2 linked regions of the Tamandua tetradactyla genome follow. The protein of the gene in region 2 purifies or fractionates together with the protein of the main gene of each other region. This does not show direct contact. Links are inferred from orthologs where the notes say so. Each region holds a gene or a part of one and is shown on either strand. Other genes may lie near its edges.

Region 1 (7,774 bases), on a different chromosome or scaffold from region 2:
ACCAGGGTGTTCACTGCCCCCCAGTGATGCTGCTGTCAACCCCACGCTGTCAGAGACCACTCCCTCAATGATCCTGAACAACACAGCCAAAAGCTGGAATCTACCCCCATTTCTACTCTCATCCCAGGGATAGAAACTTTTCTTCTCACCCATTTCTGGGGCTGGAACCCATTCTCCTTCTGCCATCTCTATAGATAGCTGCCCCTTCCTCTTCCACCACTACCCCATCTCTAGGGCTGGAATCCCCTCTACCCCATCCTGAAAGCTCTGGGGCTGGAACCCACCTCTCCAAAGTCTTGAGTGGCTCTGACCCATCTGCATCTCCATCCCAGCTCTTTGCCCCACTGCACCCTGGATACCTGGGGCTGGGGCCAGGACAGGGGCAGGCTTTGGGAGTCAGAAGGAGCTAGAGCCAGGAGGCAAAAGCAGCTGTAATGGTCTGAGCGGATTTATTGACAGTGAATAAAGGGCAAGAAGCCCAAGCTGGGACCTCTTGTGCCAAGAGGGCAGGGGGCCTAAGTTACTATTGCTTTAGGGGCCCACCAAGGGCAGGGGTCTGCTCCCATCTGCCAGTGCTAGAGCATATGGAGCCAGAGGTATTGGGGAAGGTGGGTCAGATGGCCTGTTGGCAGGCAGGGGAAGGTAAAGAAACTGGGAGGTGAGGTGGGAGGGACTTCTCCCAAGGTCCCCAGCCTGAGACCGTGCAAATCCAGGTGGAAGTAGGGCTGGTCCTTCAGCTGGGGGCAGTGCTGTCCAGTGGAGGGGAGGCACTTCATGCCCACCCCCTGTCGCTGGCTCTGCCAGCTGGTAGTCCGTGCAGCGCAGTGAAGAATGAGGCTTGGAGGAGAAAGAGGGTAACAGTGTTGCCTCCTATTCAGGCTCTATCCCAGCCTTTCCCAAGTGGTTGTAGGACCCTCCCTCATTTCCAGGTTCTAGAATATACCCCCTAGAAGCAGGCCCACTCCCCACCACTAAAGCAAGGAATATATAGCAAAAGCTAAAACCATAGCTGTTTACCCTGGGGGCTTGGGGAGCAGAAAGGCTTGAGTAGGGAGTGGGAGGATGAGGTTCCCTGCTTCAGGGTCTAGGAAGACTTACCTCATACACCGCCTGCTCCCCGTGGTGGGGACACCTGAGAGAAAGTGAGAGGGACCATATCAGCATCCCCCAGAGTAGCGAGCAATAATCTCAGCCCACCACGTCCCTCCACAGCCTTGGCCATCTTCATACCTGGTGATCTGAGGCGTTCGGTTTTGTGGGCTGTCCATTTGCTTCTCGACTGGGCAGCTCTGGGCCTGGGCCCCTCTCTCCAGCCCCCAGCACCGACTCTGCAGAGGCTCCACATTTCCCCTCAAGTGCACGAGGGACTACACTGCTGTCCCTGAGTCCTCCATTCTGCACTCGGGGGCTGGCGAGGGCCTGGGGCTGTAGCCCCTCAGGGGGCAGCCTCTCACTGGCAAGCATCCCTGCCCTGGGCTGCCCTCCCCCAGATCCCTGACTGCCCACCGGGTCCTGCCCCCCACCAGAGCCCCAGCTTCTGTCTGTAGGGGAGCCATCACGATGCTCATGCAGCCCATAGCGCTTCTCAATGTGTGTCACCCGGAACCTGGGAGGGGAGGGAACACTGGGGCTTAGGATCACAACTCAGACACTGCTTGGCCCTCCCCTCCAACCAGGGACATCCACTTCCCTCCAGCCTAAGGCATGGGAGGCCCCCTCAGACTGGGGGGCACATTGTGCCATCTGATTATTGCTACAACTCCCAGCCCAAGAGGAAGGAGCCAGCGCCTTAGTGGGTCCTGCATGGAACCCCACCAGGCCCACCTTTGGAATGAGATGCCTGATCTTTAGGGCCCCCACCTCTCTCCCTTTCCCTGGGGCACTCTATCCCCACCTGCCTACAGAGAACACAGTGGTCTCCCCAGGCCGGGGGCGGCTCTTTCCTTCCTTGGAGCGGCCCTGACGGACAAGTGGGGGCCTCTTGCTGCGGCTGCAGTGGATGCAGGGGGCTGCAGAGCCCAGGTGCACTGTGTGATGGTGGGAGGGGGCTCCGTCCTGTAGGCTGGAGGTGGCATCCACGCTGGACAGTAGGGATGAAGGGAGCAGGGATGACATTCCCACCTCCTTTCCTGTTCCATGTTTTCCTGTTCTTTCAGCATGCTCCTTAAACTCCCAGATGCCCCATTTTCCCTGAGCCACTACATTTGTTTTGTTGTCTTTGTCTAATAAAATCAATATTAAGATATTAGTGACCATGTGCTCTCCCTATCGGGACTGTTTGCTAAAAAGAGGGCTTGCTTAATCCAAAGGAGTGGCACTAGAGATGAATGGTAGGTTTGATGATATCCAGGTGGGAGATAATGGTTTGAAGCATTGATATTTCTACAAAACTTCCTATGGGTGAGTTAGATCTCCCCCCACCCCACGCCACCCCAACCAGCATGCAGAGAGACTGAGAGATTGTGCTGGAGGAGAGGTTATTCTCTAAAGCAAGCTAATCCATCATGGCCCATGTTCCCAGCTCACCTGGACATCTGCACTGTCCCTTCTCCTTCACTGTCCCCCAACATCTCCTTCAAGGCCTCAGCATTGGCTGAGGGGAGAAGGGAAAGATGGAGTCAACACAGGTAGAGGACAGTGCAAGAGTAAGTGGGGAGAGGTTGTAGGAACGCTGTCTTCAGGATGCCACACAGGTTAGCCCACCTTCATTTTGGATGATGCAGCGAACAATCCTCTCTACTGTGTCTTCATTCATGTCATCCTCCTCAGCTGAAGGATGAAAGGGGTTGGCAAAGAAGGGAGAAATGAATCAGCTTTGGGAGGACATTTAACTAGTGGCCCCCATGGCTTATTGGTTCAAATCATACCCCCCATCCCCCTGACCTATCTGCCATCATTCTGGACTTTAGTATTTCAGGGGTCAGGGCAGGAAAGATGGGGAAGTTAATGGGAACCCAAGGTTCTCATCTGTGGGAGATTCCCACCCACGCTGCCTCCTATGGTCTTGCTTGAGGGTGGTTCTGCAGACTCAAGGAAGCCCCACTATGCCTCTTGCAGGCTTGGGGACGATTGGACCTGGATATGTTGGCCTGGGAGGCAGAAAGCGTTGTGGGGAGATGGTAAGGGAGAAAGGAAACTGAACCAGGGATCCTGACTTCTCACTCACGGGGTTGGAGCTGGGTGTCATCTGGCTCTGAGCCCCTGGAGGTGCGGCAGCGGTAGCCCTTCTTCTTGAGCACGTGGCAGATCATGAAGCCTACCAGCCCCATGAGGAAGAAGACCAACACAAGCAGGAAGAGCATGTACAGCCCATGCTGGGGCGGCTCCAGGTCAGGCTGTGGTTCCGCCATGAGGCCCTAGGGGTTGAGCACGGGCCAGGGCGCCTTCTGGGGCAGATGGGGCTCAGCTAGGGATGGGGAGTGGGGAGGGTAGGAATGCCATCTTCAGGATCCCAAACAGGCAAGCCTCTGAGGTCCAGCCCCACCCCCTACCCAACCCGGGACCTGTCCAAGGGCGCGGGTTCGCCGAGACCCGCCCAGGCCGGGTCTGCGCAAGCCCTCTTTCCCGACCCTTGTCCCGCTTCCCCGACGCCCGGAGCTTTTCTTTTTCCATCTTGTCCCCGCTCTTCCGTCCCTCCCAAGGACACTGCAGCGCGAGATGGGACGCAATTCTCAGGCAGCGGCAGAGAAGTAGCGCCGGAGTCAGTGGCCGCACCACCTCTGCGCCGGCCTGGACCGGGCCTCTGCCTCCCCCTCCCCTGCTTGTGCTCCCGCCATCCTCCCATCTCCGTTTAAGATTCCTCCCACCCTGACCACCTGGCCCACCCGGTACCGGTGGTTCAGTTCCGGCTCCGGCTCCGGCTCGGGCTCGGGCTCCGGCTCCGGTCCCGGCTCCAGGGGCGTCCTAGTCCGGCTCAAGGCCCCCGACGCCCTCCCGGCTCTCATCCCTCGCTTCCTCCCCCTCCCCCCTTCTCCGCCTCACCGGCTCCGGGCTGCGGCTGCGGATACCGGTACCGCGGCAGGCGGGGGGAGGGAAGGATGGAGAGGGATGCCGGCTAGTTGGGAGCGTGGCACACCGGCCCTGGGAAGGGGAGCAATGGGGTGGGGGCGGGGGTGAGAGGGCGCCGCTGCGCGGGGTCTCCCAAATGCCTTCACCCGCCGGCGGTCCGGGACCTAGGGGCGGAGCGCAGGTGTGCGGGGCGGGGAGCGTGAGCTGTGTGCGCGTGTGAGCCCAAGTGTGGTGCGCGCGTGACTGCGCCGGGCCCCCGGGGGAGTGTGCGGCGCCGAGTCTGAGTCCCAGTCCCAGACAGGTGGTCCGACGGGGCTGCGCTCCCCGGGTTGATCCCGCACGCCTGGCGCGGCTCCTGCCCTCCGGTGCCTCTACCAGAAGAATGGCCAGGAATCTCCCCAGCGGGCTGGAGAAAGCAGGCTTTCTGCATCCGAGAGGGGCGGCGTGCCGGTTCTCCGGGGCTTCCTAGCGCGGTGGGCGCGGAGAGCACGGCCTGCGCCCCCTTTTGGACAGGCGGCTAGAAGGGATGAGCTCAGCTTCTAGAGGATTTGAACCCCGCCCGAAAGGAAATGGCCCTCGCATCCTAGGACCTACGTAAGGGTCCCAGGGCCAAGCCCGGATTCTCCAGCTCTACAGCTCAGATGGTTGAAGCGAGCCAAGAGGCGGGATTCCCGCAGGGGGCGTGGCATAGGCGTGGTCTCGGGAGGCGGGGCCTGTGATTTTCTCCGCAGAGGCGGGCTGCGTGTTTACGTAGCACGCACGGTCAGGGGTGGGGCTGGCGGGCCGGCGGGCGGTGGAGGCGCGGGCCCTGGTGCTGTAGTCACCATGGCCAAGACCGTGGCCTATTTCTACGACCCCGACGTGGGCAACTTCCACTATGGTGAGGCAACAGGGCTGTGCGCGAGGGGTTTCGGGACGCGGAGGTTTCGAGGCTGGGGCTGTAACTTCAGAGGTAGGAGCTGACAAACTCTCCTCTCACCCGCAGGTGCTGGGCACCCTATGAAGCCCCATCGCCTGGCATTGACCCATAGCCTCGTCCTGCACTACGGTCTCTATAAGAAGATGATCGTAAGTCCCACTGTCTCAGCCACGGTTCGGGGTGGGGTCGAGCTGTGTCCTTAGGCATAGGTGGGCTGCACTGGATGCACCAAGTGCGGCTCGCACCCCTACTGGAGGGGCTGATTAGAAAGCACTAAGAGCCCCTCGCTGTCTCCATAGTGTTAAGGGTGGCCTCCTCTGATTTAATGGGAATTACTTCTTCAAGTTAACCAGTCCTTGGCTAGGAGTAGGTGGGGTGGGACTGGTTTGAAGACATTTTGCATTTTTCGGTAGTGCTGTTGCCTCAGGGATGGGGGAGAGGCTGGACTCTCGTTTATCCTCAGTTCCACTCCACCTGTCGCCTCTCTCTCCATCTCCAAGGAGCTAGAGCTCTGGAAGGAGCATTCAGCAGTCATAAATGTAAATGTATTTGTGTGTGTAGGACTCAGGAGATGTCTTGAATGTCCCCTTTCCAACCTAGAACATCCATACATGGTTCTACTTCACCACTATCCAATCCTTCATCTCCCACATATACCCATGCTACCCCCAAGCTTGGAATTTATAGCTGCAATATGGAATTATAACCATTAGGCCCAACCGTTATACATTGTGAAGGGAATTAATGAATGTGATTTAATGTCCACTACTTATGTGGAGGCACAGATGAGTAGATTGGTCATAGAACAGGTTGAGGTGACATCAGTGCATGTATCTGTGAAATCCCTAGAATCATTTGTCATTTGGCTTTATGTACATGTGTGCATTTACTGGGGAGAGAAAAGCTCCTGTGTTCTTGCCCAATTTCCAACAGGATGTGTGAATCCCCAAAAGGATACTAAATATCTAGTTTAGCCCCTTGGTTCTCATACCCCATAGTATTTGATTCCAGAATGAAGAAGAACCCAGCGGGCAGAGCAGATAGAAGAAGAGCCCAGGAGTAGGAGACCCACAGAACAGGACAGGAATCAGGGTTCAAGATTGAGAAGGCAGACGAGACTGGGCTAGAGGTGGGAAGGAGGAAGCAAGCCCAGTGATCTTCAGGGGGCATGACTGTAGTAAACCACCTGGCTAATTGTAGCCTCTTCCATCTCAGACTGAACTTTTGCATCATAGAGTGACAGGGATCAAGATCGGAGAGGGTGGGGGGAGGACTGCTATATGTGGTTTTGGACAATCCCCAGGGCTTGGCTCAGTGTGAGTGGTTTCAGTTCATGAATGGGGCTGACCCCGCCTGCTGTCATCTTGTGTCTCCATCCCAAGGTCTTCAAGCCATACCAGGCTTCCCAGCATGACATGTGCCGCTTCCACTCTGAGGACTACATTGACTTCCTACAGAGAGTCAGCCCCACCAATATGCAAGGCTTCACCAAGAGCCTTAATGCCTTCAACGTGGGCGATGACTGGTGAGGGCGGTCTGGGACTTTGGATGCCAGGCACCTTGAAGGAGGGGGATACTTGAGTGAGGTTTTGTGGCAGCAGTGGGAGGTGATGAAAGGGGCTTGCTTATCAGTGGTTCATCCTCTCTTTGTTTATTTGACAAATATTTATTGATAATTTACTGTAAGCCGGGCCCTGTGCTAAGTGCTGAGAATGAAATGATGAACAATCAAATAAAAAAGTGGGGAGAAAGAGAAGGATGGGAAGCCCATCATGGAGTGTACAATGTAGTGTGAAGGCAATCATAATCGACAAATAAATGTAAGGTTGTAGTTGTGCTAAGTCCTACAAAGGAGAGGTACATGACAGACTATGAGACTATATAGCTGGAAAAATAATCTAATTTGGGGGCAGGCTGGTTAGGGGAGGCTTCCTGGAGGGAATAATGATGACTGAATTGAGATCTGAAGGAAGAGTTGAAGGTGAAAGAAGGTTGGGTGGATGGAGGGTGAGGGGAAGCATGTAGTGGGCAGTGGGGGTCTGTGCTAAGGGTCTGTGGTAGGACTGAGTATGACTCATTTGAGGAACAGAGAAAGGCCAAGTACATAATATAAAGAGAATGATCTGAATCAAGTCTAAAGAGTTAGGTGGGGCCCAACTTCTTAAGCAGCCCTGTTATGAATCGGAGTTTCTACCCTCAGAGGAGAGGGAAGCCACCAAAGTGTTTTAAAAAATAAGGAGGGTGACTTGACCAAGTTTACATCGAGTTTGTATCATAGTCAGGGCTTGTAGAAGACTCAGGCCTAGGTACTGTGGGAAAGAGGGCAGAGAACAAAGCTAAGCCATGATCCTTCCTTACTGTTCTGGTATACAACCATGAAAAAATCATAACTGTAACAGCTGCCTTTACTCAATTTTATTTATTTTCATTTTTAAGCTTTTATTAGGGAAAATTTCAAATGTTTCTAAAAGTAGAATTATACAGTGACTTCCCATTTCTCTACTATGCAGCTTCTACAATTATGAGCATGTGGCCAATTCTATTTTATCTGTACCCCCTCAGGTTAGATTGTTTTTAAGTGAATTCCAGATGTTGCATTCTTTCTATTCTTAAAGACTTTATTTATGTATTTTCAAATGATATGCTTAAAAAATATGTAACCACATCATCATAACAACTAAAAATTAACAATAATTTCTTAATATCAAATATGCAGTGTTCACATTTCCCCAGATGTCTCATAACGTTTTTTTTTTTTGCAGTTGGTTGTTCTAAACAAATTCTGCCCAGGCTTTTTTTTTTTGTTCTTCTAATCATTTCTTTTTTTTTAGTTTTTAAAATTTTTAT
Region 2 (7,198 bases):
ACACATCTCCCCACAAAAGGACAGAATCGACATTCCTTGATCTTGCATTCAAGAACTTTTATAAATAGGCCCTTTTCCTCCCCTACTTATATTCCTGACCTACCAAGATTTTGTTCATGCTATATTCCCATACCACCACACCCCAAATTCTTTACACCCATCAAAATTCCACCCATTATATGGGACCCAATTCCTATCACCCCTTTTACCAAGAAGAGTTCCTTGACAATTCCAGCACTCATAACTTGTCTTCTCAAGACCTATAGCTCTTAGTCAAGTACTGTCCAGCAGAACTATCTGGATAACAGAAATGTTCTACATCTGTACTAAATGTTCTCTTATATATAATGGGTATATTATTGCTAGCACTTCTTTTATGACACGTTACCCTGGATGGTTAAACCATTTATAAAGTTTTCCTAGCAGACTGAAAGTTCTGTGAACAAGATACATTTTATTCTTCACCAGCAACTTTCACAAAGTTACAAACAGTAAATTTTTTTTTTACTTATTTGTACACCACCTCTTAGGAAACCATGAGCTGAGATGTCTGGAAGGATGGTCACCATCGCTAACCCATCTTCACATCTGAATGTGAAGGGCTGAGGAGGAAACAAAAAGAGAATACCTTCCTGGAGACACCAGATACTAATGCTCAAGACACAAAGCACTCTGGTTTAGGTGGCATTTAGGTCATGATTGTCCTTCATTTACAAACTTTCCTAAGTAAATACCTCTTTTCATTAGCCAAATAGCGAAATTCTTACGTAAATTATCCCTACTAAATTTAAACATAGCAGTTAGACAGAAAAATAACCTAAGCAAGTCCTATTAAGTACTTCTTTTTTCACCTGTTCATGAATCAATCTCTGTCTTCCGTTAAGTCATATAGCCTGCTAGAGGTATTTCACTGTTCAGATATATGTCAAAATTTCACTGGCACTTTTCCCAAGCAAGGCCTACACTCTCTCTAAATCAAGGCTTTATAAGTAAGCATTACTTACCTGTGTAAGAACACAAAATGTACAGGCAATAGTACTTTCACCACTATGGCACTCTGCTCCCTTGGAGCAAGTGTCTTCTTCCTTTGGCCTCAATTTCCTTATTTCCAAAATGGGTAAATATTAATATAAACTACCTACCTCACAAGCCCTTTGTAGGTCAAGTCATAACTGTGGGTATTTCTAACAGGTTCTTCTTCCCAAAAGAACTATATTTAAAAACAAAAGATCCCTGACTTTGCTAACAGTTCTTTGAGGTGGGTCTGCTAACAAATATAGAGACTAAGATTAACCCTCTGACATTTAAAGCAATTTTTTCTTCGTTATTCCAGACTTCTTTCCCCCACCTCACTGTGCAAATGTCTGAACAAAAATTCTGCTAGTACTCCAGTCTGGCACATGTAATAAGGAAATAAACGTGTTGACTCAAGGAACACAGACATATTTAACAAAAAAAAATAGAAATATGGCTGAATCGAGTCCTAATGCAATCTAAACCCACATATACAAGATCAAGATAAGTTACTATTTTGATTTATTCAAATCAATGCTTATTAGTGCAGCCAGCCAAAAAGTTACAAACTAGGCACATAGTAAGTGTACCATTGACACACACACAATAAAGATCAGCAGGCACACACCATATACATTTTTTAATAAATAAAGCAACTAACCACTGATCGTGTCGACATATAGACACCCACTTGATATGAGTGCTGTATACTAAGCAAGGAAAAAGCAACTTGAATGATATAATTTTGCTAACTGAAGCACAACCCCAAACGCAGGTAAAGTTTGCACACATGACTTTGCCAAGGCCAGCCAGCCTGTCTTTGTTTCCCTCTCTTCTGCATTTACCCAAGATCTTGGCTCTGGGACAGAAAACTCCCACTCTCGATTGGTTCATTCTGTCCTATGCAATTAAGCAACACCACAATCCAGTAAGTGAAATGGCTCAATTATTTATCTTCTGACCGTGTTTATCAGGTATTCATAAAAGAACAATGTCAAGGAGGAAAGAGATTTATTCTTCTCTAGAGCTGGCTTGACTGGGGCTTTAGTTTGTTTTGTTTTTAGAAAAGGAGTGGGGGATGGGGAAAGCAAGCCTTGAACTACAACAAGATGTGAGGAAATTTAGAAAGCACAAGTCTGTCAATTTCCCTACAGGAAACTTGATTCTTATGCAACAATCCTACCCACAACCAACCAGCCCGTGGGGCTTTAGGATTAAGACACCTATTTCTCCCCCCAGAGAAGCAGAGCTGGCTCCTAAAGGAGCAGGAACCCGGCCAGGCTGAGAAATGGCTCTGCCGGGAGCCGCCGGATCCCTGCCCGCGGCGCGCGGGAGGAGGCTCTTCCCACGCGCCCCCCTACAGTGATCTCGCCCGCCTGACAGTCGCTCCTGAGGCCCGCACGTCTCCAGAGCCCCAGGGAGCAGGAAGTCGGAGAGCTGTCCCTCACGCCTGCCACCCCCGTCCCAGGGGGCCCTCGCCCCCATGGTCCACCCCTCGAACTCATTCTCACTTTTCCGCGGCTTCTCCCCTTTCTCTTGGAACGAAACTTCCTTCCAGCGCCCCTTCTGCCTTCAGAGGCCCGCTCCTGTCGGCCCTGGGAGGTGTCCCTTCAGAATGATCGAGCGCGCCCTCGTATCTCCCCGCCCCACTGAAGTTTCCATTCACACCCCCCTCCCTGAAAGACCCTCCCAGCGGCTTCCACCCTCTCTGGCGCCCGCCACGGTGCGTCAGGCCTGGGGGCCGTCCGGAGAGGCTGCCCCACCCTTCACCCCCTTCACCTGTCTCCCCGGTAGAGGCCCCACAGGCAAGGGCTGCGCTTGGGCCGGCGTGCGGGCACGGGGCTCCCTCAAGCCGCAGCGCCTCAGTTAGCACCGGCGGAGAGAGCGCGCCGAGTGGGGGTGCTGGTCAAAGATCCGGTTCGGGTTCAGGGCCTCCACTGAGACGTCGGAACCCCAAGCTCCCCCTCCCGGGTCTGCGCCGCAGCTCCGGAAACGGATGAATTACAGCCCCTCCAGCCAATCCCGCCCAGCCCCAGCCTGGCCTAGACACGCCTTTATGCATAATTCAAGAGATGGCCAGCTTTCTGGGCCACAGGAGGCCCCGCGGCTTGCCCTGTGCACGCGAAGCCACACCCACTGACCAATGAGAACAGCCGCTGGGGGGAAGGGCGGTGGCAAAAGAGGACTGGGGACGCCCCTGCGTTGGCTGTTCCGGAAGGCGTCGTGCTCCTCCCTCCGCAACGGCCCGGGAAGAGCTGAGGCCTTCGGCCCAGAAACCGGCAGGGAGGGAGGGAAGATGACCGGAATGTCCTGCTGAAAACTCAGCTGAGTTCCTGGCAGTGTGTGACGTCAAGACACTTTAAATGCCCCTGATGCGGCTCTCGCCTGCCGGCTCGCTCTTTTCCTGGCCCGTGGCGCCACGTGGGAGGAGGTTGGGAACCTTTTACCATGTGGGAATCAGCCAGTTAGACAGTCCCCACGTATAGCCAGATCCTCAGGGCTCCCAATTCCTGAATTGGATTTCTGGCGACAGCAAAAAGAACATGGGTATCTCCTGCCTGTTTTGAACTCAAGTTCTGTGTAAGTCGGGACACACACACCCGGAAACATGACATGGAAATAGAGTAATTGTTAGAGTGCGTGGGGAGACAGTAGTGAATTTAACCCTGTCCTCCGTTCCATCGCTTCAAGAATCAAACACCAACAGCTCGCCCGTTGGCGGGTACACGAGAATGCTGAAGATAATATATATGAAGGTTGACACGTATTTGACACAGTATTTGACATTTTGGGGCATCTGAGTTGAAATACCTTAACTTGCCAGCTTTTTCCCTTCACCTCATCTACTTTATATGCAGGTTTTACTGAATTGAAGCCAGTAGTCAATAGGAAGTGTAGATATTTTGCTTTACGTGATGTAGGATGAACTTTGCATAAGGGAGTGATTTCTTTGTTTTATTTGGCTGATACTATCAGGGCTTTTAAAAAATAAGTTATTGGTATTTCTGTTTGTTTAATGCAAACAGGTGTAAAGACGATATCTAAAAAGTCATCCTAACACCCAGATAACCCCTAATAATAGGTTTTCAAATGAAACTAATACAGGTTCTTGGTTAGAAAATTCAGAAAGGTCGAAAGTGAAAAATGAAAATTTATTCCTCCCCTTTCCCTCACCAGTTACCCCAGGATGACTGTTCTCATTAATTTCTGATGAGAAAATGAATGAGTCTTAACCTTTGAGGGGTAGGAGTCACAGACCCTTCAGAGAGTCGGAGTGGCATCTGGATTCTAACTCCAGAAAAATACAGCAAGAGCTTTTACTCACAAATTCACATGGTTCCCTGGCTACCTGAAGCCCCTCAGAATACTCTAGATTCAGACATATCCAAATAGCAGGTGAAAGCATCTGTAGGACAACTGATAGGGTCATTAGTGACAGGATTGAGAGTCTCCCACTGCTCTCCTGTACACCCAATCCAGTAAAGAAATTTCTGTACTTATCTGTATGGTGTGAGTGTGTGTGTGTGCATTTGTGTTGATTGCTCTGTTTATCTTATCTCCAGACCAGGACAGACATCTCCCACCTTCTACCTCAGCTAACTTCTGCTTTAGCTTTGCTGTTCCATGCAGTTGACTCCCTCTCTAATAACATAGTGCCTTTGTTTAGTGGTTTACTGCTAACAAAGCCCTTTCACACCCGTTATCTATTTTCTTTCTCACAACAATCATGTTTGACAAATAAGAGAGGTCATATTATTCACTGATAGGAAACTAAGGCCAAGATAGCTGACATCCTCAAGATCCCAGTGATTGATACTCAGAAGTAAACCAGTGGGTTTACAGCCACATTTTTGGACTCTGAATAGCTTAGCTTTGCTCCAGCCACTCAAAACCTGCCTTTCTCCCTAAGGGCTTTGTTTCCCTCACCAGCCCCACCTCACACACAAAATCTGCCCCTGAGCAGACTATCCACCTGACCTACAAAACCTCTCTCCAGTCCTGCCGCTGGCCTTTCTCCATACCTACTCAGAAGCACCCTTGGTTAAAGCAGATGGTTTCTGTCACTTGGGACAGTGCTGTGGCCCCCCGGAATATTCTCTCCTCACTCCAACCTTGTCCTTCGCCTGGCTGAGGTGGATGATGAAGGACATTATCCTAATAAATAAATAAATAAATAAATATCCAGTTGTGTTATGACCTGCTGAAAAATCTGTTTCCTATTACCTATAGGATAAAATCCCACCAAAATGAGAAATACTGAGCATCTAACAGAGCTGGGTATATGGTAGGAATTCAATTGTTCTTCTTTCCCTTTCTTAGTTTGACTCACAAAATCCTAAAAAGTCTCGCCTAGTCCCCTCCCCTGTTTTTAATTTGATTAGGCAAATCATTAAAAAAAAGTTGTGGTGGTGGTAATATATATACAAAATAACATTTTCTCTTTTAACCACACATTCAGATATATGTCAGTAGTGTTAAATCACAATGTTGCGCTACCATCACCACCGTCCCATACTAAAACTTGTCCATCACCGCAGACGGAAACTCCATACCCATTAAACATTAACATTCATTCTTCACCCCCACCTCCACCCCGGTACACTGTAATCTAGTTTCTCTCTCTATGAATTTGCATATTCTAATTATTTCATTTAAAGGAGACCCTAAAATATTTGTCCTTTTGTGTCTGGATACCACTCAACATGATGTCTTCAAGGTTCCTCCATGTTGTTGCATGTACCAGCACCTCATTTCTTTTTTATGGCTGAATAATACTCCATTGTAATATGTATATATCACATTTTGTTTCTCCCTCCATCTGTGGATGGACAGTTGGGTTGCTTCCATCTTTTTGACTATTGTACATAAAGCTTCTATGAACCTTAGTGAACAGATCTCTGTCTGATTCCTTGTTTTCCATTATTTTGGGTACGTACTTAGAAGAGGGATTGTTGGGTCATGTGGTCATTCTCTGTTTAACTTTTTTTTTTCTTTTTGGCTTTAGACAACAGAAATTTATTCTCTCGCAGTTCAGAAGGCCAGAAGGCCAAAATCAAGGTGTCAGCAAGATTGGTTCTTTATGGAGGCTCTGAGAGAAAATCAGTTCCATGCCTCTCTCCTCGCTTTTGGTGGTTGCCAGCAATTCCTGGTGTTTATGTTGAACTTTTTAAGAACTGCCAAACTGTTTTCTACAGCAGTAACACCATTTCACACTCCCACCCATAATGCACAAGTGTTCCTATTTCTCCACATCCTTGCCAGCGCTTGTTATTTTCCTTTTTTTAAGTAGTAGCCATTTGAGTATGGCCTAACCCCCATTTTCCAGTCTCTTCTCCTCTATCCCACGTACCCTATGCCCCCACGCTGGGCTTACTACCTTCCTCCAAACATGTCAGCACTTTCTACAACTCCACGCCTTTGCAGGTATTATTCCCTCTTCCTGAAAGACCTCCCCATCCTTGTTTCCTTCCCGAAGAACTCTTACCCTTCAAGGCCCCATTCCAACATTACCTCCTCTGGGCTTTCTTAGATTCTTCCTTGAAAATTTAAAATCTTGTTCTGCTGGACTTCCTCAGCGGGTTATTGCCACATCTAGCAAGCCATTTATCTTCTTGGACTGTAATGTATCCATTTATCAACCTACTTCCTGGTAAACAAAATTAATAATTAACATTTCGGAGTAATTAGTATGTTCCAGGAACTATGCTAATATAGTTCCTATAATATATATGCTAATATTATACAGCTAAGCTGTATAATGTTCCTTTTCATAAGCCCAGCTCCTAGCAGCCAGCTCAAAGCTCGCCCAATTCTGAATTAATTACATATTAATAAATATGTGTTGAATAATCATATCAGCAATAGCTACCACTTACAGAATGTTAACCAGGTACTAGCCACTGCTCTCAGCTTGTATTTACTCATGTGACACGTGTATTAATTTATTTAATCCTTTTGTCCTTACAGTAACTATAAGATACTATAATTTTATGGACAAGTAAAAACGAGGCTTACCCAAATTCAAGTGATTTACACAAGAACATAGATATGGTAAGTGGCAGAAACAGGATTCAAATCCAAATATGCCTCATTCAAGAGCCTGAATAGCTGTTCTTCCTGGACTTTATCTCTAGACCTCATGATCCTCTACGAGCCCCAAGGAAGGGACTAAAGGAGGAAAAAA

What was found. The genes of interacting proteins can lie anywhere in the genome.
Region 1: the proteins of STAT3 (region 2) and HDAC3 purify together in Homo sapiens (affinity purification with western blotting; 4 studies listed by BioGRID). This does not show direct contact. The link is inferred for Tamandua tetradactyla from reciprocal best matches to the Homo sapiens genes STAT3 and HDAC3.

Annotation. Positions count from the first base shown.
Region 1 is NC_135346.1:21,769,382-21,777,155, reverse strand, and holds the start of HDAC3 (histone deacetylase 3), read left to right. Parts: upstream 1-4,774; 5' UTR 4,775-4,833; coding exon 4,834-4,888; intron 4,889-4,993; coding exon 4,994-5,076; intron 5,077-6,309; coding exon 6,310-6,452; intron 6,453-7,774. Other genes in the region: FCHSD1 (F-BAR and double SH3 domains protein 1), read left to right, coding at 1-71; RELL2 (RELT-like protein 2), read right to left, coding at 1,100-1,132, 1,231-1,606, 1,895-2,080, 2,527-2,593, 2,704-2,769, 3,167-3,350. UniProt on the Homo sapiens protein: Histone deacetylase that catalyzes the deacetylation of lysine residues on the N-terminal part of the core histones (H2A, H2B, H3 and H4), and some other non-histone substrates.
Region 2 is NC_135332.1:24,835,131-24,842,328, reverse strand, and holds the start of STAT3 (signal transducer and activator of transcription 3), read right to left. Parts: upstream 3,010-7,198; 5' UTR 2,794-3,009; intron 2,678-2,793; exon of another isoform or gene 2,526-2,677; intron 1-2,525. UniProt on the Homo sapiens protein: Signal transducer and transcription activator that mediates cellular responses to interleukins, KITLG/SCF, LEP and other growth factors. Once activated, recruits coactivators, such as NCOA1 or MED1, to the promoter region of the target gene.